Callithrix jacchus: one gene and its partner. The protein of the gene in region 2 purifies or fractionates together with the protein of the main gene of each other region. This does not show direct contact. Links are inferred from orthologs where the notes say so. Each region holds a gene or a part of one and is shown on either strand. Other genes may lie near its edges.

The links. Proteins that work in one complex are often made in the same cells at the same time.
Region 1: the proteins of CCDC68 (region 2) and CEP170 purify together in Homo sapiens (co-immunoprecipitation; 3 studies listed by BioGRID and IntAct, counting the BioPlex papers as one, with this or other methods). This does not show direct contact. The link is inferred for Callithrix jacchus from reciprocal best matches to the Homo sapiens genes CCDC68 and CEP170.

What each region holds. Positions count from the first base shown.
Region 1 is NC_133520.1:42,978,349-42,982,066, forward strand, and holds part of CEP170 (centrosomal protein of 170 kDa), read left to right. Parts: coding exon 1-1,381; intron 1,382-2,130; exon of another isoform or gene 2,131-2,233; intron 2,234-3,718.
Region 2 is NC_133514.1:98,119,492-98,123,209, reverse strand, and holds part of CCDC68 (coiled-coil domain-containing protein 68), read left to right. Parts: intron 1-2,801; coding exon 2,802-2,942; intron 2,943-3,718. UniProt on the Homo sapiens protein: Centriolar protein required for centriole subdistal appendage assembly and microtubule anchoring in interphase cells. Together with CCDC120, cooperate with subdistal appendage components ODF2, NIN and CEP170 for hierarchical subdistal appendage assembly.

The sequences.
Region 1 (3,718 bases), on a different chromosome or scaffold from region 2:
TCCAAAACTGTTTCAGGTCAGACAGATAAATGTAGGGAAGAATCTTTTAAACAAGAATCACAACCTCCAGAAAAAATTTCAGGACATTCTACAAGCAAAGCAGAAAGAATGGCACAAAGTGAGAGCAAGAGAAGAAAAGCCGAGGAAATTCTGAAAACTCAGACTCCAAAGGGAGGCGACAAGAAGGAATCCTCCAAGTCATTAGTGCGACAAGGGAGCTTCACTATAGAAAAGCCCAGCTCAAACATACCCATAGAACTTATTCCCCATATAAATAAACAGAATACTTCTACTCCTTCTTCTTTAGCGTTAACATCTGCAAGTAGGATACGGGAAAGAAGTGAGTGTTTGGATCCTGATTCTAGTATGGACACAACCCTTATTCTAAAAGACACAGAAGCGGTAATGGCTTTTCTAGAAGCTAAACTACGTGAAGATAATAAAACTGATGAAGGACCAGATACTCCTAGTTATAATAGAGACAATTCTATTTCACCAGAATCTGATGTAGATACAGCTAGTACAATCAGTCTGGTTACTGGAGAAACTGAGAGAAAGTCTACCCAAAAGCGAAAGAGTTTTACCAGCCTCTATAAAGATAGGTGTTCCACAGGTTCTCCTTCCAAAGATGTTACAAAAGCATCATCTTCAGGTGCTAGGGAAAAAATTGAAAAGAAAACAAAAAGTCGTTCCACAGATGTGGGTTCAAGAGCAGATGGTCGTAAATTTGTTCAATCTAGTGGGAGAATAAGACAGCCTTCAGTGGACCTAACAGATGATGACCAAACCTCCAGTGTACCTCATTCTGCTATCTCTGATATTATGTCATCTGATCAAGAAACTTATTCTTGTAAACCTCATGCTCGGACTCCCCTTACCTCAGCTGATGAGCATGTACATTCCAAACTGGAAGGAAGTAAAGTAGTGAAATCTAAGACTTCTCCTGTAGTACCTGGTTCATCCAGTAAATCCACCACTCTTCCAAGGCCACGACCTACCAGGACTTCCCTCTTGCGCAGAGCACGACTTGGTGAAGCTTCAGACAGTGAACTTGCCGATGCTGACAAAGCATCTGTTGCTTCTGAAGTATCCACAACAAGTTCTACATCAAAACCTCCCACAGGAAGGCGCAACATCTCTCGGATTGATTTATTGGCTCAGCCTCGTAGAACACGACTTGGCTCACTGTCAGCTCGTAGTGACTCTGAAGCAACAATTTCTAGAAGTAGTGCCTCTTCGAGGACCGCAGAAGCCATCATTAGAAGTGGAGCCAGATTAGTACCATCAGATAAATTTTCTCCTAGAATTAGAGCTAACAGTATTTCTCGACTCTCAGACTCCAAGGTCAAAAGTATGACCTCAACTCATGGCTCTGCATCAGGTAAATTGGATCCAGATTTTGAATAGCATTAGCATGTTGTATATTTTGGGGTACCTTTTTTAAAAAAAATTAAGTCTCTAGTTGTCTTCCCAAGATACTCATTCAAAAGAAAAACGTTATGATATACAGGGTTTTTTTTTCCTATGAAATAACTTTATTTAGCCTAGTAAATGGAAAAGTCAGAAGTTATATATACTTCCAATTAAAGTCCTGGGGCAAAATAGTGATTTCAAAAATTAGGAATTCATTGAGCAGATTTAGCAGTTTTAATTTTCCAGTTGGTGAAATATTTGGATTTGTGTGTCAAAATTAGATTATCTGGAATTATCTGGTTTAAATAATAGGAATTAACATTGTGCTTCTAAAAGCATGTATTTAACCTTTAAATATCCTCACATAATTCAAAGCGGTGAAGAACTTGAAAAAAAGCAGTATATGCTTTATTATTCCTTTCAGAGTTAAGTGAAATAATATTTTGTTCTTTTTTTTCTTACCTATTTTGAATGTCTTTCGTTCTTTATCTATACTTTTTAAAGTTAAATTTGTTTACAGTTGGAGCAGGTGAAAACTAATCCTTAATTTATTTCAGTGGAAGAAGATGAATTCATGGGGAATCACTCAGCATATACTGGTCAAACCGAGCTGTAGAAATTTTACTGGTTATGAACATTATCTCACAAAGTGCTGTTATATCATTTAACCCTAGTAATTAGGTGTAATTGAATATAATAACTACAAAAAGTACTTACTCTCCACCAGAATTTAACTGCTATTATTATATTTGTTTGCTTATGTACTTCATAGTCAGAGCTGAAGCCATTGAGATACATGTGTGACCAAAGAGTGATGAGGTGGATATTTGTTTGTATCCTGTAAGCATGCTCTCATTACTTCATAATGAGCTTATATGAGGGCGTGGCTGAAAAGGCCAATGTGGGAGAGCATCTGTTATAACAGACATGAAGATGGCTGATTATTTTCGGTCAGCAGACATCTAAGTGAGCCCTAAGTCTTGAGTTAAGTAAGAGTGGAGGGGAAGTTGATGTGAAATCTCATCTTTTTATTTTTGATTGGTTCACATCTACCACACTGTGTCCTACAAGACCCAGAAGGAACGGTACTTTGCATACGATACTTTTTTACCTTTCTTCCTCTTTTTACTGCTGCTCTCCTCCACTCCATTCACCTGTCTCTCTTTGCTGGTCAGTGAGTTTGGTAATGATGGTCACTGTCTCTAGTAGGAATGGATGTAGGCTGAAGCCAGATAACATATAATCATGATTCTAATAAAACATAGACATCATTTTCCTTATTACCCCAGTCTTCATTTCCATACTTGAAGCTTTGGCTGGCAGTTCACAAATTTATTGCCAAATATTTTAAAACTAACTACTGTATTTTGGTTGATTTTTGTTCTGTTGTTGCTTATAGCTCTAACTCTTCAATTCACATTTCATCTATACTGCATTTCCTGATGAAATTCTTCTGCTATCCTCCGTGTTTTATCACCTCATCCCCATTTAAGTACATTAAGATATGTATATATTCTCCTGTCTTAATGTAATTGGTATGTTACCAAGTAGCTTGGAGTACCTCTTAACACATGATGTGGCCTTATTCCTCGATATTTAGGATAAGGCTTGAGATGCAGGCTAAATATGATTACATCAGCAAGTCTAAGAAACAACTGCAAGTTGCTATTATAAAGATAAATTTCATTTCTGCTGCCTTGAATACAGAACTTGATAAATGTTCAGTTAGTTGTCTGTGTCCAAAAAGAACCTTGAATTGTGTATGAAATTTCCTAGGACAAATTGAGGTATATGATTTTGGTCTTTTCATACTTAATAGCAGTAAATTAAATAATTAGACTCATGGAATATTAGAGTTAGGAGGGTTATTCCCTTGAGAGAACTGAGGCCAAGAGAAGAAATAACCTGCCTTATCCACATGGCTGTAGCAGGTATGAGAATTTTGTCATGCCCAGCCTGTTGTTTTTCGACCATATTTATTCTAGCTCTAAGAAATAGTTTAGTGTTTACTTGTGAGCAAGCTTCGAGAAGACAGAATCTACTGGATTATTATCAGGAGCATATGCAAGGTCAATATACAATATAAAGGTTTTGGTATCGTTTACTAAAATCTTTGCTGCTCTGATGTTTTACCCAGTGTATATTCTTTATTCCACCTTATGAGCTTAAAGCCACATTGTAATCTAGGGTTGTATATTCAGATTCTCTCAAGATGCGCATAGTATTACATCTTATCTAGGACAGTGGCCAGGATCTTTCATTCAGTGGGAACATACTATAATAGCTGTATGGAGAAGGTAGTCAA
Region 2 (3,718 bases):
AGGCTCACCTGGGCCACACGAATAGACATACACAGTTGAAGCTTTTAGGCCTGAGTTGAGTAACTACTTTGTCAGATAGCTGATAAGCTTGAATGTGCTCCCTTCTACAATATCAGCTTTATATACATAAAGTCGAGCCTGTACTTAGCATTGTCTGGATTACACCAGGCTAAACCTCATCTGTGCCAAGTGTACTTCATTAGTGTTGTCCACTGGAAGGCAAATGAGGAAAGGGTTTCATAAGCTAAGATGAGGCTGGTGGATTAGGAGGAAAAGAAGGAGATTTTAGGGTTCTAGGATAGAGCTAAGGTGCTGCATTTCATTTGTTTGTTTGTTTGTTTGAGACGGAGTTTCACTCTTGTTACCCAGGCTGGAGTGCAATGGCACGATCTCAGCTCACCACAACCTCTGCCTCCTGGGTTCAGGCAATTCTCCTGCCTCAGCCTCCTTAGTAGATGGGATTATAGGCACGTGCCACCAGGCCCAGCTAATTTTTTGGTATTTTTTATAGAGACGGGGTTTCACCATATTAACCAGGATGGTCTTGGTCTCTTGACCTTGTGATCCACCTGCCTCGGCTTCCCAAAGTGCTGGGATTACAGGCCACTGCTCCCGGCCTGCATTTCTAACAAACTTCTGCTGATGCTGAGCTGCTGGGACTGTAGACCAACACTTGAGGGTAGCAAGGCCCTAGATTATTATGGTGAAACCTCTACAGGGCCAGAGGGTGATGATTAGAAGTGTGGTTGATCTGCTGACCTTTCATGGTTTAGAGCTACTCCTGTCAAGGTTACTTCAGCAGGAGTCACTGAAGGCAAATGAGGAAAGTGTTTCAGAAGTGGGGCGGGACGCCTCTGTCAAATGCTGTCTATGGGCCAAGAAAATTGAGGACTGAATGCCAACCGTTGGATGTAACAATGTGGAGCATATTGGTGGCTTGATAGGAGTGGCTTCATGGGAATGGTGACGACAGTGTGTTGCCATGTATCTGTCTTAGCCGCCTCAAACCACAGAAGGTCAGCAGATCAACCACGCATCAAAACATCAGCCTTCTGGCCCTGTAGGGATTTGGCCAGAGTGACCTAGGGCCTCGCTACTCTCAAGTATGCTCTGCAGTCCCAGCAGCTCAGCATCACCAGAAATTTGTTAGAAATGCAGCATCTAAGCTCTACTCCAGGACCACTGATTCAGAATCTGCATTTTTTTTTTTAGAGACCGAGTCTTGCTCTGTCACGTAGGCTAGAGTGCAGTGGCATGATCTTGGCTCATTGCAACCTCAGCTCCTGGGTTCAAGCAATTCTCCTGCCTCAGCCTCCAGAATAGCTGATACTACACGTGCATACCAACACTCCTGGCTGATTTTTGTATTTTTAGTAGAGATGGGGTTTCACCATGTTGTCCAGGCTGCTCTCAAACTCCTGACCTTGTGATCCACCCACCTCAGCCTCCCAAAGTGCTGGGATTACAGGCATGAGCCACCCCACCATGACCGGTCAGAATCTGCATTTTTAACCAGATCTATCACCCAGTAATTCACAGGCACATTGAAGTTTGAAAAGCACTGATCAATGATCTTTGTAGCCATCTACCACTGCTGATAATCTACCTTCTTCTACAAGAGATTTTCTGTCAAATATTCTTTAACAAATTAAAAAAGAAAATTATTCCTATTCTATATATGGAGAGTGGGAACATGCACTAGGGCCTGGACTATAAAAAACAGAACTGTGGCAGAGTTACAGTGAGGGAGGATGCTATCCACATGCACTATGTTCTTTGTGTTTTTTATTTCTGCAAGTGTAGTTATACTGTAGTGAAAAGAACATATATTTTGCTATTAAACAAACTGGGATTCTAATTCTGATTTGGCAGTTGCTTTAGGTATAATCTTAGGTATGTTAGTTAAATTCTCATCTTCAAATTCCTCACCTGTGGAAAGGGCGTAGTACCTTTCAGTGATTTGAGCATTCAGACAAAAGACAGTACGTAAAACATCTAAAAGATGACCTGGCACATAACAGGTGTTTAACAAATAGAAGTTGTTATTATAATTGTGGGGTATGTGTAATTGTGTAATAGTTTCTCTGTTTTGAAATAAATTGAAAGAACGGGCACACAGTAACTATTTAAGAGGCTGTGACATGAGGTCTCTTGCTCATTTGCTGCATAAACTTGGACCCTGGTCCTCAGTTTCTACATCTGTAAAATGGACAGGTTAAGTTAGATGGTTTCTAATTTCTTTTCCACTTTAGTCTGTGCACAATTCCAGATGAGATTTATGCTCCAAGTATATTTTCAGTGAGCTAGAGCTTACATCAAGTTATAATGGAAGTGCCATTCAGTTCGGATATCTCTGATTGGAAATTTAATATGAGGAAATTACAGTGAAACACGACCAAACATTGACTATTATGTATTGCAACTATTAGGTCTGACTGTATTAGTCTATAATGCAATGTAACCAAAATGGAATTATGTCCACAACTTAGATTTTTAAAACTATCTGGCCTTGCGGATGTTATTTATCTCCTCAAAAGCACTTATCAGTATATGTGAAACTATAGAAAATATAAAAGTTAAAATGTCATTCTACCGCTTCCAATATAAGAATCTGTTCAAATTTGAGCAAATATAGAAGTCAGATGTTTCATCTAGAATTTTCCATTGCTATTTGGGATTCAAAAGATGTATATTTATGCTGACCTGAAGCCTCTTTGATATATCTAACACTGAATGATCATTATTGTTGTCAAAGTTTGTAGAGGAAAAAATAGTCAGATTTTCATGTTTGTCCATTTCAGTGCTGTGGAAATCTTCAACAGGGCTCTCATTCTGAAATGGATCCTTCTTGTTGCAGTTTGGATTTGCTTATGAAAAAGATCAAAGGAAAAGACCTACAGCTCTTAGAAATGAACAAAGAGAATGAAGTATTGAAAATCAAGGTATCACTGTTAGAAGTTTCAAATTTTGTGTTTTGAGCCTTTGGGCTAATAGAGTGTGTTGTTAGTGTTCATGGCTCTGTAAAAGCAGAGATGTCCATACATATCCATAGGTCCCCCTGTATGCTCCCTTCCCTGGAGAAGGATTTTTATATTTCACAAATCATATCTCACTGTTTTATTGTTGAGGCTTCTTTTGTTATTGAAAATATCTTACAAAAGTTCAAGTTATACCATTTTAGTCATGCAAGATGAATAAGTTCTAGAAATCTACTGCATAAGGTTATGCTTATAGTTAACAATACTATACTATACACTTAGTAGATTTCATGTTAAGTGTTCTTATCACAATCCGCAATACATTTTAAAAAGTGTGTTCGTATTTAATAAATATTAACTATAGCCTTCATGGTAAAATGCCACAATATTCTTTAAATTTGTCTATTGCTGAATGCTTTTGATCTTCCTCTTTAAAGGCTTATTTTATATGCAGTCCTGCAATGAATATCTTGGTAGGGAAATCTTTACAGTCATCCTTGACTGTTTCCTTAGGTTAAATCCTGGAAAGATTCATGACATTTTAGCATCATTGCCCTCAATACTTTAAACTTGCCCCACTTCTATTTCAGGAAGATACACTTTTTAATACTGTTATGGACATTAATGATAAAAGGCTTGCAAATAAGTGTATAAGCTGACAGAGCACCATAGAGTTATTTGAACGGTGAGGAGTATATCTGCAGGGCATTGCTGTGGAGTGAGCTCTGCTTTGGTTTGAC